4 linked regions of the Sus scrofa genome follow. The protein of the gene in region 1 purifies or fractionates together with the protein of each later gene. This does not show direct contact. Links are inferred from orthologs where the notes say so. Each region holds a gene or a part of one and is shown in the gene's direction. Other genes may lie near its edges.

What was found.
Region 2: the proteins of DCAF4 (region 1) and CUL4A purify together in Homo sapiens (affinity purification with mass spectrometry; 8 studies listed by BioGRID and IntAct, counting the BioPlex papers as one, with this or other methods). This does not show direct contact. The link is inferred for Sus scrofa from reciprocal best matches to the Homo sapiens genes DCAF4 and CUL4A.
Region 3: the proteins of DCAF4 (region 1) and CUL4B purify together in Homo sapiens (affinity purification with mass spectrometry; 9 studies listed by BioGRID and IntAct, counting the BioPlex papers as one, with this or other methods). This does not show direct contact. The link is inferred for Sus scrofa from reciprocal best matches to the Homo sapiens genes DCAF4 and CUL4B.
Region 4: the proteins of DCAF4 (region 1) and COPS5 purify together in Homo sapiens (affinity purification with mass spectrometry; 4 studies listed by BioGRID and IntAct, counting the BioPlex papers as one, with this or other methods). This does not show direct contact. The link is inferred for Sus scrofa from reciprocal best matches to the Homo sapiens genes DCAF4 and COPS5.

The regions. Positions count from the first base shown.
Region 1 is NC_010449.5:96,302,260-96,305,759, forward strand, and holds part of DCAF4 (DDB1- and CUL4-associated factor 4), read left to right. Parts: intron 1-317; coding exon 318-418; intron 419-864; coding exon 865-1,022; intron 1,023-1,757; coding exon 1,758-1,840; intron 1,841-2,976; coding exon 2,977-3,079; intron 3,080-3,500. UniProt on the Homo sapiens protein: May function as a substrate receptor for CUL4-DDB1 E3 ubiquitin-protein ligase complex.
Region 2 is NC_010453.5:78,555,705-78,559,829, forward strand, and holds the start of CUL4A (cullin-4A), read left to right. Parts: upstream 1-1,325; 5' UTR 1,326-1,507; coding exon 1,508-1,661; intron 1,662-2,233; coding exon 2,234-2,349; intron 2,350-4,125. Other genes in the region: PCID2 (PCI domain-containing protein 2), read right to left, coding at 971-1,006. UniProt on the Homo sapiens protein: Core component of multiple cullin-RING-based E3 ubiquitin-protein ligase complexes which mediate the ubiquitination of target proteins. As a scaffold protein may contribute to catalysis through positioning of the substrate and the ubiquitin-conjugating enzyme.
Region 3 is NC_010461.5:98,727,783-98,731,814, reverse strand, and holds the start of CUL4B (cullin-4B), read left to right. Parts: upstream 1-1,232; 5' UTR 1,233-1,367; intron 1,368-1,595; exon of another isoform or gene 1,596-1,700; coding exon of another isoform or gene 1,701-1,717; exon of another isoform or gene 1,718-1,957; intron 1,958-4,032. Other genes in the region: MCTS1 (malignant T-cell-amplified sequence 1), read right to left, coding at 1,701-1,717.
Region 4 is NC_010446.5:67,739,276-67,743,327, forward strand, and holds the start of COPS5 (COP9 signalosome complex subunit 5), read left to right. Parts: upstream 1-1,252; 5' UTR 1,253-1,321; coding exon 1,322-1,731; intron 1,732-3,903; coding exon 3,904-4,052. UniProt on the Homo sapiens protein: Probable protease subunit of the COP9 signalosome complex (CSN), a complex involved in various cellular and developmental processes.

The DNA.
Region 1 (3,500 bases):
TCTTATTGGCCAAGATTTCTGTTCTCATTTTCATCTGGAAAATTCCAAAAGACCTCCCCAAATGCTCAAATGAGGAGATATGAAAGGGGAACTACTGTGACATGCATCCTCTTAAGGTTGAGAAACCAAAACCTTGCCCTAACTTGGGTCTGTCTGCAGTAGGTAAACTGCTACCAAGGAAAAGAGGGGTCAGTGCTCCCCAAATAATCCAGTGTGAGAGGTTCAGGGGTGAAGGCTATGGAACTGCAAGACCCAGAGGCAAAGAAAGACTGAGACTCAGGCCCTTGGCAAAAGTTACCCTGGCTGTGTGTCAACAGGAACAACGCAGGGGCACAGCAGAGCCCACAGGGGTCCAGCCGCAGTGATGACGAGGCCCCCTCCACCTCATCCAGCTCAGCTGGCAGTTCTTCTGTGCCAGGTAAGGCAGCCCGCTGGACTGGGCTCCCCCAGCCCTGCCCATGGAGACTGCCCATGGAGAAAGATGAAACCTCCTCGTCGTCCTGCCTCGTCCCCTGGTCTGTCCCTTCCAGCTGCCCTCCTCCTCGGCCCTGTGTGTCTTCACTTGTGTGGATACACTCCATGTGTGTCATCAGTCCATTCCTGGCTTGAAGGAAATTTCTGGAAGCAAATTGAAACACTAAAGGGAGGAGCCGGGTGTGTCAGGAATGGTGATCGAGGCAAAAGCTGCTCCCCCCGGGACTGAACTAGGCCCAGGATGGTGACTGGCAGTGCCAGCCCACCTCCTGCCTCTGAGGAAGGAGCGGCGGTGGCGGCTAGGAGGGGTGGTGGACAGGCCCCTGGGCTCCTCACTGGGTGGCTCAGCACATGGTTTGTAAGTTGGATTTTTTTTTTTTTTGACTAAAGATCTGCCAGGTTATTACTTTGATCCTGAGAAGAACCGCTACTTCCGCTTGCTCCCGGGACATAATAACTGCAACCCCCTCACTAAGGAGAGCATCCGGCAGAAGGAAATGGAGAGCAAAAGGCTGCAGCTGCTAGAGGAAGAGGACAGGCAGGGAAAGGTGGGCGCCACACCCCCCGGGGCTGCCCGTCCCCTCCACTCCTGCCAGCGTCCACCCATGGCCACCAGGAGGTGCCAATTAAACACCCCTGTAACACTCAGCTTAGCGCATTTTGGGGAGGGTGGTGTCTTGAAGTTCCCCAAAGGAACCTGGTAAGAGAATAAGAAAAGGCAAGAAATCTCCTCCCACCACCACCACCCTTTTCTTTTTTGCCGGATTTCATCAGTAGTTCTGACGTCTTGTCCTTCCTCAGGCGACTCAGTAGCAGCCTGATAAAGCTTCTGTAACCATATATTTTAAATAGGAAAGCAGGGTGTGTGGTTTGAATATGAGGATCCTTTCTGCAGATTAGATGCCAGGACATTTTGCAGATATGAGGGCAGTGGAATGGAAAATCCACAGTCACCATCGATTGAATGCGAAGCGCGATGCAGACCTGAGTGTCCAGTGCCATTCCTGCCCTCAGCAACTCGGCGGCCTCATCTCCTCGGGAAGAAATCGATGGGAGGCCTAGACAGCGGTGCCGAGCAGACTTCCCAGCTCACACCTACTCTCTTGTGATGGGCTTGTCCTCTTTCCAAGGAGAGGAGACTCACAGAGGAGACCATCAGATTTTTATGCATATAGTTCCTACAGTCTTAGTACATGTTTCTTCATTGTATCCTGTGGAATTATAAACATACCCCATTATCTGATAACATAAAACTTGACTGAATTTTACTCTTTTTAATTTAGAAAATAGCCAGGTTGGGATTTAATGCATCTTCCTTGCTACAAAAAAGCAGGCTGGGTTTTCTCAACGTCACCAGTTATTGCCGGTAAGACAATGCCTCATTGTTATGTTTTCTTCATGAATGTTTTTTTTTCCTATTTCTGTGGTCCAAGAACCCAGTCAGGCTAGAGCACATAGCTACTCTGTGAGGAGTCTTCACAGTGGAGGAGCTTCCACTCACAGCCTGCCTTCTGCTGCCAAAGTCAGCCCTGGGCGAATCCTTCCTCTGGACCAGGCGGGGAGGCTCTTGCAGGAGGCCAGGAAGAGGGAATCCAGGCAGAGAAATTCGGTAGAAATTTCTCAAGATGTTTCCTCTTAGTTACTTATAAATCATCTTTAGTTTAGTAAAATGTCCTTTAACTTCATCCCATCAGGCTTCTGCCTCCTTTTCCCTTTCTAATGAGTTGTCACCAAAAATGGAACATGAAATGGTTGTGTACTAAACTTTAAAGACTTGTGATGTCTGGTACAGTTGAACTAAAACCCTGGGAGATGGCTGGGTACTTCCCCAGGTCCCAGAAGAGGCAGACTCAGAGTGGAATGATTTGCTCAAGGCAGAGCTAGAAAGGGTGGGCTCTGTCTCCCTCCCAGGCCTGAGCGCCTCACCCCTGCGTCCTGCTGCCTCCTGTGTGCCTGGGCCCGTGAAGAAACAGCTCGAATTAGGGTGGCTTACCAAGGCGCCCCCTTCAGGGAGAAGATCAGACCTGCAGGCCGTATCAGCCGGGGCAGGAGGGATGCGACTCTCCTCTATTTCCCTCCCTCTGAGAGGGCAGAGTCAGAAGTCTAGTTAGATCTGTTCTCCACCCTGAAACATACTGGGTCCTCGGTGGAGGAAAAGGGGCAGTGGGATGGGTGGCTGTCTCATTTCTCAGGCTTGTTCTCTTTGTCTCAACAGTTGCACTTGTTGATCCAAAACAAATCCCTCTAGTTCTAGTTCTGACTTTCTTTGAGTGAAAGATCAATTGAGCCACCCATTTCTTTGCCTTAGTTTCCCTAAGAGTTCTAAAATTGCGATTCTTTGGGGCCTTGCCCAGCTCCATTGCTGACATTTCATGTGGAGAGGAGAGGGCCGACCAGAGAAGACGGTCTTCGGGTGTGGGGCAGAGCAGAACCCCTGCATCTTCTCCACAGATGTCTGGGCACGGCATCCCTACCCCCCGCCCTCCTCTTTCTCATCTGCAGTTTAGCCCATGAGTTGCGAGTAAGCTGCATGCAGAGGAAGAAGGTCCAGATTCAGAGCTCAGATCCCTCCGCTTTGGCGAGTGACCGATTTAACCTGATACTGGTGAGTGGGGGGAGCTCTCTGGCTGCCAGGGGTATGGTTGCTGTCTCATGGATGATTCGTGGCTTAGCATTGGTTTTCATCTAGCTTGGCTGCATAGAGCCATAAAATAGGTTTTATGGTTTTAACAAACACCTACCGGCTACCCATTGGCAGACGCCAGGCTGTTCTGTGACCATCGTCAGCTCATCATTTGACTTTAGAGCTGGGGCCCACCACACGTTGACTGAGAACCATCACAGAGTGACTTTCCCTTGGGTATGTTGTGTACACAATTGATAAGGTCCACAGTGAACCGGGGGCTTCTCATCCTTTCTATACTGGGCAGGATTTGGTGGCCACCCCTGAAGCTTCACTGTCCTTCAGTAGCAACAGCGTGTTAGTCTCTTGCTTTCTGTGCCTGGCCTCGTTAGCAGGGCCTACA
Region 2 (4,125 bases), on another chromosome or scaffold:
TCATGGTTCCTACTCGGATTCATTAACCACTGTGCCATGACGGGAACTCTGTTCTTGTTTGACTTTAAATAAAAACTGATAGTGAAAAATGTTAACTCTGCAAAGCTAAGGCCAAAGTAGACCTGTTCTTAAAGAAAAGGTCTTAGGTCTCAATCAAATGATTGGAAATGAACATATCCTTTAAGTTAAGATAAAAGCATGGATCTGTTTTTTTTTTCCCCCATGATTCCTATCTTAACCAACTTTCTCAATTAACTGAACAACTAATGGTTCCAATCATGTTACACTATATTCAACTGCCAAAGAGATAGCTTGGCTTGGTTGTCAACAGATGCCTCCAACTCAACACGGCCAAAACTACACTTATTTTTCCTTCCCAATCAGTTCTGCTCACGTGTTGCCCAGCTGGAAACCTGGGAATCATTCTTAATTCCTTCCTGTTTGTTCTCCAACCACACAGCCTTATTCACCAAGTCTCCGCAATGTCTCCATATATTCTAAAAACCCACTCTCCCCCTTTCCCTGTCCTGATTACCACGGTTCTAGTTCTGCGAAATAGCATGGCTCAGGGGAAAGACTACAAGCTTCGAATCCACAAAAACATATTTGCGCTCTCCCGTTGCATTTGGAGCCTGTTTAGACAAAACTCCTCAGAGACACAAATCCCAAAGGACATAGGTACGCCGAGCGCCAACACAGAACCCCCTTGCAGTCGAACCACTTGCTTTCCCCGGCTCCTACATCCACCACTGCCTGTCCCCCGTCCCCACACGCCCCTGAATTGAGGGCACGGCCGCCGGGGCTCCCGAGCCCCCAGGGTACACGGTGAGGGCGCCTGCTTCCCGTCTGGCGGCCAAAGGCTCCGGCGCAGCCGGCGAACGGACCCGCCCGGGCCCCAGCCCGCTCCGGGCCGCAGCTCAGGGAAGCGGGAGGTCAACCGGCAGGGGGCCCGATGGTCGGCGAACGTTACCTGCTGCAGGTACTGGTTGAGGGTGATGTGCGCCATGGCCGCGCCTGCAGTGCGGCGGAGCTGCGCGCCCGTCGCCGCCTGCTTGCGTCACTTCCGGGCCGCGGTCCGTCCCGGCCCCGCGCCCCCCGCCCTCCGCGCACCTTGGTTCCGGAGGCAGCCTGTGCGCGGGAACGCGAGCCCCGGGCCGGCATGGCGGCGCGCCCGGGCTGAGGCGGGCTGGGGGCTGCGCTGCGACTCCCCGAACCGCTCGCGAGGCCGCCTCGTCCGCGCCCCAGGTGCCCAGGCCCGCCGGCCGCTCGCCTGCTGCGAGGTTCCACACGGACCGCGGCGGAAGCGGACTGCGGCGCCCGCGAGCTCGGGGCCGGGTCGGGCCGGGTCAGGTCGGGTCGGGGTCCGGCGCGCTCCCGAGGCCTGAGGCGCGCGGTCGGCGTCGGGATCCGGCGGTTGGACCGGGCCGGGCCGGACCGGGGAGCGCAGCCGGGGGAGCGGACAGGCGGGCGCGGGCGGAGGCCCGGGCGGGGCGCTGCGGCCGCGGCCATGGCCGACGAGACCCCCAGGAAGGGCAGCTTCTCGGCGCTCGTCGGGCACACCAACGGCCTCACCAAGCCCGCGTCCCTCGCCGCCGCCGCCGTCACCTCCAAGCCCGGGGGCAGCGGCGGCTCCAAGAAGCTCGTGATCAAGAATTTCCGAGGTGGGTGCGGGGCCGCGGCGGGGCGGGCGGGGGTCGCTTTCCCTCCGCGGCTGTGTCGTCGGGACGGAGGGTTCGGCTGGAGTTAAGTTCGGCCAAGCAGCGCAGGTGTCGTGGTTGGCGAGGCCGAGCCAGAACGAGTGGCAGCCCCTGAAGCGCTGGGTGATGTCGCTTAATTTAATTACTTTCTCCGCTGTCACTGTCGTTATCTGGGAGCAAGCGTCTTCGTCCCACACAGACCTCCCTCCCGACGTTGAGTAATTTAACTCAACTTTAAATCTGGTCGGGGCTTAACTATTCCATGTTTGTTTATTTGTAACGTCTCCTTACTTAGAAGACTACATGTGTGTGTCCTAAGTATCAACACTGCAAGTATTTACCCAGCAAAAGAGAGACATTGTGGTCACATAGTCTCTAAGCCAAGGAAGGTGTAAACACAGTGCTTCCTTTGGGGAAGAGCTACTGCCCGTATTCGTCACCTAGGTGTCTTTGAGTCCTTTTTTGTAGAGTTTTTTTTTAAGGTGTGTGACTCTTGGCATGATGCCCTTCCCCACTCACTGTCTCTGGATTTACAGACAGACCGAAGTTGCCTGATAACTACACTCAGGACACCTGGCACAAGCTTCACGAGGCGGTGAAAGCCATACAGAGTAGTACCTCCATCAGATACAACCTGGAAGAGCTCTACCAGGTAAGACTCCACCTTTGCAAACAGCGGGGCTCCTTAGGATTCTCACCTAATTTCTTCAGGGAGAACGTCCAGGCCTGGGGGCCAGCATCTTGTTTTTCACTTACCGTTTTTTGCAGCTGTCCAAACCACACGGTTGTGCACTTCCACGAAATGTGACACGGGTGCGGATTCCGTGGGCCTCAGTATTGTCTCAGCGAAGGAAATACTAGAAATCCAAGTACAGGCCTCCGGCAGAAACAGTGGGAGTTCTGCGAGAGGACGTCCCCAGGGTCAAGGAGGATTTTCGGGTTTTGGCGCTTGTGGGATTTTTATTTTCTTTTCAGGCTTCAACTGTCTAGAAAGGCATTTAAAGTTAATTCATCACAGGAAAGCCATATGTTTCTGTGAGCCATGCGACTCTGTTTTCCAAATATGCAGCAAATGTTATTAAAATTCCAAGTTACGTTATATATAAAATTCTCATGACAGTTTCACTTGTAGATTTTCCCTGTCTTCATTGTACTTTGTGATTAATTATTGCGGTTAAAATGTGCAAACAGGTTTTGTTTCATTTGATTTAAATTAATGATGTTCTTGTTCTAACATAAGAAAAAATGGTCGAAAGTATGTTTCACGGTTGGATATTCCACTTACAAGCAGACTGGTTTTTCTTTTCTGGTATCTTAAAGACTAACAATTTGTCAGCTGGGCCTAATATCACCCACGTTTTAGGTAATGACAGTACAATTTCTATTAGGAGACTTGGATTTTAAGTTTTTTCTTTTTCTGTAAGTGATTACATTGTAAAATTATGGAAACTATAAAAAATACAAGGAAAACAATTGAAAACCAACAAAATTAGAAACCGTTGTTGTGCAGCGGAAGCAGATCTGACTAGGAACCATGAGGTTGTGGGTTCGACCCCTGGCCTCGCCCAGTGAGTTAAGGATCCGGCGTTGCTGTGAGCTGTGGTGTAGGTTGCAGATACAGCTTGGATCTGGTGTTGCTGTGGTTGTGGTGTAGACCGGCAGCTGCAGCTCTAATTTGACCCCTAGCCTGGAAACTCAAGTATGTCCCACGTGCAGCCCTAAAAAGCAAAAAAAAAAAAAAAAAAAAAAAAAATCACCTATTCTCCCACCACCCAAAGAAAACGTTGACAATTTGAGGGACATATGTCCCTTCTTTGTCACAAGTTTGTGTGAATTTATTGTATTTTTTTTAAACTCTTTGAATTTTATTGTATTTATAGTTGTATAACCATCCTTAGAGTTTTTGGTGTTTTAATCACCTTTAATAAGGTAGAAATATGTAGTTTGTTAAGTTTTAGCAGGTGTACCCCACAGTCTAACCAGCAGCACACTGGGGACCACAGTGGGTGTTTCCATCATCCAGAGTTCCCTGAGGCCCCCTTGAATTCAGCATCTCCCTCACCCCAGTCCCTGACCTCACCGCCCTCCCTCACCCCCGTCCCTGACCTCACCGCCCTCCCTCACCCCCGTCCCTGACCTCACCGCCCTCCCTCACCCCCGTCCCTGACCTCACCGCCCTCCCTCACCCCCGTCCCTGACCTCACCGCCCTCCCTCACCCCCGTCCCTGACCTCACCGCCCTCCCTCACCCCCGTCCCTGACCTCACCGCCCTCCCTCACCCCCGTCCCTGACCTCACCGCCCTCCCTCACCCCCGTCCCTGACCTCACCGCCCTCCCTCACCCCCGTCCCTGACCTCACCGCCCTCCCTCACCCCCGTCCCTGACCTCACCGCCCTCCCTCACCCCCGTCCCTGACCTCACCGCCCTC
Region 3 (4,032 bases), on another chromosome or scaffold:
CTTGTTAGATAATAAAACAAATCTCTAAAGTACAAACTGAAATAAATCCAACTCTGAATAAAAACATTTAATTAACTCTAACAAAATAATCAGTACACAAAGCCACATTTTTCACAAACATAAAAAATTTTTAAAATACAAATAGTGATAAGTTTTATTCATTTAGAGTAGATAGTTGTGAAAATAATTACATTATAGGGCAATCTAATCATGCAATAAATCTAATCATACAATATTCAGCTTCTCTGAGCTTTACACAGAAAAAAAGACTGACCATCTCACTATTTTGACAGGATCTTTCTTAGGCATGATTTGATTAAGCCATGGTTCAATACCTGGAAATTGCTCTATCAATTGATTCTTAATACCCTTTATAACTGAGGTTTTCAACTGGATGAAGTTGGACACATTTTCTTTTTCATCAAATCTGCCAAATGATTTTTGCAAGGAAAAAAAGGCATTTCTAAGAAGACATATCAGAATAGCTAGAGGTATTGTTTTAATTAGTCACCTATTTCCAAGCAAGTATTTAGATGCCTAAAATAATTATGAAATAAATTGTTTTTAAGATACTATTTCCCTTTTATTCTGTCCTGCACAATACCAACGTCTTAATAAAATATTTAAATAAACTGTCATACGTACACAATTAGCAGAGGGACGAGGGAAAGGATATGAAGCATATTTCATATCATAGTCTGTAATCAGCTACACAAATGCCTTTCCTGGAAAATCTTACTCAACTCTACCCAGGAAGAAACTGATTCCCACCTATAACAAAACCCGTGTAAAAAAATCAAAAGCAAAACAAAATAAAATGAAAATACCCTTAAGCGTTAAGATACAAAAGCCCAACTTAATTATAACAGAAAATCAGCCCCTCCTAGGCTCTGTAATCTGCTGAGATTTTTTTCTAAAGTGATGACGACGATGGTATTTAAGATCCCTATTTATTTTTGCTCAAAACGTCGTGCACAAAACCACCTTCCTTTGCCCACGTTCCCCCTGTGCTTTTTGCGTCTATCAAAACTGGAAGGCAATCTCACTAGGTAGGTTCCCAAAGAACTTTTGTCTTCCTTACGCTCAATAGCCTATGCGGCAATCACGGTATTTTCAAAACAAAGTTAATCTGGCAGCTAGGCAATAGGCATGACAGGCCGCTAGCTTCCTGTCACCCAGACTCCTTCACTCCCATGACCCAGGAAGTCAAGCCTTCCCTTATTCGGTTCATAACTAATAACCACATGGCAGTGAGTGCAGGGCTCAGCTCTCGGCTAAAGAGCTTATGTCCCTAAATCACAGTACAAGGATGTGATTGGTAGAATCCTTGGGATGGAGATAGGATTGGGAGAAAAAGTAAAAGAGAGGTAAGGAGAAAGAAAATGAGGGTGGGAGGACCGAAACCCATTTGAGGACTGGATGAAAGGCTTAAAGAAGTGTTGCAAGTTGCGAGTTGAGAGCATAGGACTATAGAAAACCTTAGGGAGTAAGGATGGCTGGGGCTGGGAAGAGAGAAAGGGAATTTTTGCTCTCGCCCTCTTCCCCACCCCCACCCCCTTTGTGAGCATACGATGGAGGCCACAGTATGTCCTTACTTCTTGAACATGATCCAAGGTGAAGAGGGCGACGATAGGGAAGGGCCCAGAACGGGGCGGGGGCGGGGGGGACTGAATTAGCAAGGGTCCCGCAGGTTCCCTTACACGAGGAAGGCCGGCATTGACAGTCGGAGCTGTTGTCGTTATCCGGAAAGGCAGACAGCCAGCCTCACTTTAAGGTTCTTAGTGAAATTTGACTACTTCCGCTTCTCTAAATACGTCGGCGCTTTTGCCGGCCCTTTTTGGGTTACCGATCCCTATCCAGAGCGGGTAACTGAAGGGCGGGACTTGAAAAGGAAGAAGAGCTAGAGCAATCATCCTAGTAGCAGGAAGAGAAGAATGGAGTGGGCGGGGCAATCAATCAAGGTACTATTTAAACCCGTTGCGTCACTACGGATTCCTCAAAGGGTCAAGGTTCTTCCGTGTATCGTTGCTACCTGCTGTCAAACAATTTTTTAGTGGGAATGATTTTTGTTTCCCGAAACAACCGAAAGGATTGGTGCTTACCGACCAGCATGAATCTTGGCAAGCCTCTTGACATCATGCTAATGTAGTGGTGGGCTTGCCGAGTTTAGCAAATAAAAATACAGGACACCCTGTACAGGACATTTGGATTTCAGATAAAAATGAATATATTTTCTAGTATAAACTATACCTCATTCAATATTTGGGAAATACTTTATTCCAAAAAAGAAAATTTGCTTGCCTTCTGAATTTAAGTGGGCATCCTGTATTTTAATCGGGGAGCCATACTCACTGGCCAAAGAGAGGTGCCTCCAAAGAATTCACTAGGTTGTGGTCCCCTGCTTCACCCTCATAACCATAAGTTGAGCTTTAAATCAAGAGAACTTCTTGGAGTTCCCTTCGTGGCTCAGTGGTTAACAAACCCGACTAGCATCCATGAGGTCACGGGTTCGATCCCTGGCCTCGCTCAGTGGGTAAAGGATCCAGCGTTAGCGTGAGCTGTGATGTAGGTCGCAGACACGGCTCAAATCCCACGAAGGACTGGCGGCTACAGCTTCTCTTCGACCCCTAGCCTGAGAACCTCCATATACCTGGGAACCTCCACGTGCCGTGGGTGCGGCCCTAAAGAGATAAAAAGACAAAAAGTAAAATAAAAAAAGAGAAATACCTTACTTAAACGATCGAATGTCCTCTAGGCAATCAATGCTAGACTAACTGATTGAAGAAATAACAGCTAAAGAAACACGTTTTACTTATGCAATTTTTTTTGTCTTCTTTTTTGAGGGCCCACAGCATATGGAGGTTCCCAGGCTAGGGGTCTAATCAGAGCTGTAGCTGCCGGCCTGCACCACAGGTCACGGCAATGCTGGATCCTTAACCCACTGAGTAAGGTCAGGGATGGAACCCACAACTCATGGTTCCTAGTTGGATTCGTTTCCGTTGCACCACAACAGGAACTCCCTACTTATGTAATTTTTAAAAGTAGATCAAATCAAGGGTTTTGATCAGCAAAGAAAGCATGGAAAAATACAAAACCTGAACAGGTACTACCTAGGCAGTGGGGTAGGTGTGAAGGGATCTGTAAAATAAATACACCCCTGTCTCTCCAGGGAGCAAATACTCTAGTCTGTACTGGGGAGATGGCCATTTGGGTTGTGTTTGAATTGTACAACCAACTCAACTTGCCTTGATTCCATGGTAGCAACACACTTCTGATTATAATTTAGCTTCTCGTGAGGTTCTGCACAGAAAGAATTTGCTGTTTTCAAATTATATCCCTGTGAACAATTGTTTGGCTTTGTAAATTAGTCATTTAGGATGTTGTTTTCTGCATCAATCTCTTGTGAATGTTCTGAGAGTGAATCCACATTCCCAGCATCAATCAACTCTGTGACATTTAAAGTATTGTTGATGAACATGCAAAACTGAATCCCAGACTCCAACCTGTGATTCGTGCTACACTATTGGGCTTCTTACCAGAAAGGAGAGCTTTCCTCTCCTGGCAACTCTCACATCACCCTGGGAGCCTACCATGTAACAGTAGCTACATTATAACAGCCATAAACAAGGTATTATTAAGGGGTTTGAGGTAAGTGAAAATAGATATTTTATATTCAATCTATACATAATAACACTTTAGTAATAGCTATGTATTACACTAGTAAATAAAAGTTAACTTGATGGACCCCCAAATTAATAACATCTAGATGGACTTCCTAATTTATTGAACTTTTTGAGAAACCTACTAATTTTAGATTTACTAAAAATTAACACAACATTGTTAAGTCAATTACAAGTCAATAAAAATTTTTAAAGATGAAAAGTAAATAAAAAGTATTATGCTGAGTATTTGCAGTGCTAGAAATAATAGCTAACTTTTCATGCTCTAAGAATTATACATACTCTAAATTATGACAAATCCCACATGCATGGAATTAGCTAATTGCTACATGTGCATACATATTTTAATCCA
Region 4 (4,052 bases), on another chromosome or scaffold:
CATATGCTACCACTAGAAAAGAGATATCTAGATTCCCGGGACAGTGGAACTAAGTGACCTTTATCTTGTTAGTTTGTACGAGGGCTTGAAAGATAAATTTTCTTCAAATGGAATTTAATGTCAAAACCACAGGCGGAGTTGTGGATTCCATAATACTAATGTTGTCTTAACTAAATGTCACACAGCTTTCTAGGAGTGGAGGATACAGCTCAGAACCAAGTGCCCTGCACTCTGAAACTGAGAGTGAAAAGAAAAACTTCCAGGTAAACAAATACATTATTTCCTTGCACTGTAACAGTTATGCAAGCACCTACAGGCATTTAGAGACACGGCAGAAGGATTACTGGAGAGAGAAAAGTTAAGAAGGATTGCGTGGCAGAGAGCTCTGAGCTGTGTTTTTAAATGTAAGTTTAAACTCCCAGTCCGAAAAGTCAGGGGAGAGCTTTTCAGGCAATGCTAGCCACCTTATGCAAAGTTTCAGGGTAACTAAAGAAAGATGAAACTGGAGAGGTGAATTGTGATGCCCCCCCTCCCCTTTTCCCCCAGGGGGAAAAAAATTGAACATCTATGGTAGACATTGAGGATACAACAAGGAGCACACCTGGTCCCTGTGTTTTGGAACTTAGAATCTAATGCGGGGGGGGGGGGAGAATAACTAAAACAAGCAAATAATGAAATAATTAAATACCGTTTGAACTCTTGGATGACAACCAATACTCCCCCTAGATTAATTCAGTCTCGGAGCAGAGTTAGTTCCACAGAGCAATGCAGAAGATTAAACTGTAAACTATTATAGCAACTGGGTACTGGACATTTTCGGGACATTAATAGCGCCTAGAGATGTTAATTTTTACAAACACACCAAGGCATGACCGTAGCCATCCACGAGTTTCCACAGCTTCATATGATCGCTAGAGAACGCCCAAGAGAAGCTTAGTGCCCAACCACGAGCCCATAGGATTTTACACATGTGCGGTGATTCATCTGAAAGTAAACTAGGATGTCATGTATTCTCTCAAAGCCAGCATTCAGAACTATTTATCTCAATTTTTCCAGACATCCTTTTTTTTTTTTAAGTCTTTCAACAAACTTACTGCATTTAAAGTACCTGCACCTACATAAAAACAATTCTTTCTCCCATCCCCGTTTAAGGATCTATTTTTAATATGGCGGAGGCCGAGCCTGCGCAGTACGAACAAGGAAGGTCAATTCGTTTTCTGGCATAACGTTACATGCCCTTCTTCCGGTGCGGAAGGCTATACCATTCCTTACATAAACGCTGTTTTTGTCTTAATTCACACATATAATTTTCCAAGATAATATGTCTTCATTTAATCCACAAGGAGATTCCTCTGTCTCTAACTATTGTGTAACTGCTGTTTACACCGTCGCGTTCCGGAAGGACCCCCGCCATCCTCGAATGGTCGGTACCAACTTCACCTCCGGTTCTAGGTGTCATGGCTGCCTCGAGAGTCTAGTACCAGTTTGCACCTGCGGTGGGGTGGGTCTGAAGCCCACACCCGGAAACCTAGCGAGGTTGAAGTTGCGTCTTGGTTGTAGGGGCAACAACTTCTCCGAATCCTCTGCGATGGCGGCTTCTGGGAGTGGTATGGCCCAGAAAACGTGGGAATTAGCCAACAACATGCAGGAAGCCCAGAGTATCGATGAAATCTACAAATACGACAAAAAACAGCAGCAAGAAATCCTGGCGGCGAAACCCTGGACTAAGGAGTGAGGAGGTCCCTGGCGAAATGCTGGGGAGGGAAGGGTGGCGGGAGTTTAAGAGACCCAGTAGGGGTGGGAGCTGAAGCGGGGACTGGGCTTGTCTTTTCTTGTGCAGGGAAGAGGAAGAGTAAGCGTCTGAGAATTTTTGCTTTGCCTTTTTATCCGCGCAAGTTGAGCGTAAGTCCCTCCTTTGGGGCTCGCTTGACTCCCCTTTCTGTCTCTTTAACCCGTTTGCCTCGGGAGAATGGAAAAGGAAAACGGCAAGCGGTGATTTGGGCTTTTACTCCTCAACACCCATACCGTCACGTATGCTACACACTCTGCCTTGAATCCTGTGTCGGTATACACTTTGTTGGGACTTGCAGCAGATCTTAGACTGGAGACTGTAGCTGTCTTCAGAAATTGAGCCAGCCCAACGGTCTTTAATTAAAAGCCATCGTTTAGATCTGTAATTGTTTTTCGATTGCTGGTAATTATTTTAGAAACACCGCGAGGTTCTACTTAGTCTCCCAAAATGTTAGCAAGTTCACATAAGCTACAAATTAAATCAATAGAGTTCTTTGCCATTTAGCAAAACAGCTGTGTCCCTGAGAGTGATGACAGATCGAGGATTCTTTCCCACAGCATTTATCCTTTCCTGAGAGCAGATATTGTTAGAGATAGAGTTAAAAGAGCACCGTCTCTAACAGAGAGATAGATGGGAAAGCGGTGGTCAACAACAAAAACCATGCTTCATCTGTCCCACAAGGCAAGCTTTAATTGTCATTATTCAGATTCAGCAATGTTTATTGAGTACTTACTAAGGACTGAGCACTGAGTTGGTTTGCCTCACCTGCTCTTTCTATAGCAGGCTGTGCATTTTAGGTTGATAGAGCCTATTAAATATTTGGAAACTATTAGCCTCGCTGTGTGATTGTATCTCTAGTTATATACAACCTAGCTGTCTTGAGCCACATCAGTGAGACCAAAATGTAATTTTATTCAACAGTAGTTTAGTCACAACCACAGATGAAAAACTTAAACAGTGATCATAGCAGAACTAAAGATAAGGCTACATTTTCCATTTTGAGGCTGATACCACAGAAAGAAGCCACAGCCCTCAACAGACTTCTTTGAGAGTTCTGTAAAAGATAGGTTGATAATGCTAACAACAGCTAGCATTTAAAAAGTTTTAGTATGTGTCAGGCACTAGGCTAAGTACCTTATATACATTATTTCATTTACTTCATTTCCTCCTAGCAACAGCCCTGTGAAATATCCCTATTTATAGATAAGGAAACAGGCACAGAATTAAGTGAATGTCTCAAGGTCACAGCTAGGACATGGTAGTGCAAGGATGCAAAGGTAGGCAGATGGATGTCAGAGCCCACATTTTTTTGGAGGGGGCACACCCATGGCATACGGAAGTTCCTGGGCTAGGGGTGGAATCAGAGCTACAGCTGCCATTCTACACCATAGCCTCAGCAACACCAGATCTGAGCCACATCTTCGATCACACCTACTGTGGTGATCATTCCACAGTATATGTAGTACATCATGGCAATGCCAGATCCTTAACCCACTGGGCGAGGCCAAAAATCGAACCCACATCCTCATAGATATTAGTCAAGTTTGTTACCACTGAGCTGCAATAGGAACTCCAGAGCCCACATTCTTAACTGTTAGGCCAAAACGTTAGGGCCTGAGAATAATGAGGTAAATCCATCCAACCAGTCAGAAACCAAAATTTGGCACAACCTTGTAAATCAACTCTAAATTTAAAAAGATTTGGTGATACCAAAATTAATGGAGAAAAAGTCTACTGAAGTGGTCATGTAAGAATAGCATATTAAAAAACTTTTTCAGAAGTTCTCTGGTGGCTCAGCAGATTAAGGATCCAGCATTGTCACTGCTGTGCCTTGGGTTCAATCCCTGGCCCAGAAACATCTGCATACTATGGGTGTGGCCAAAATAAATGCCCACTATTTCATAGTGTTCCCTTTCCCCAGTGGGAAATACCTTGCAAGGTTATGATGTGTTTCCATCTCCCTTTTCTACTTCCTCCTTCTTTCCATTCTACACTCTTCCTCCCCATTCTATCAGTGTTAATTCCCTCAATGCTTGTTAATCTCCACAAAAACTGTCTTGAAATTCTACTTTATGTAAGAAAGTTAATTACACCATGCTTTTGTTTTGTAGTCACCATTACTTTAAGTACTGCAAAATCTCAGCATTGGCTCTGCTGAAAATGGTGATGCATGCCAGATCAGGAGGCAACTTGGAAGTGATGGGCTTGATGCTGGGAAAGGTGGATGGTGAAACCATGATCATTATGGACAGTTTTGCTT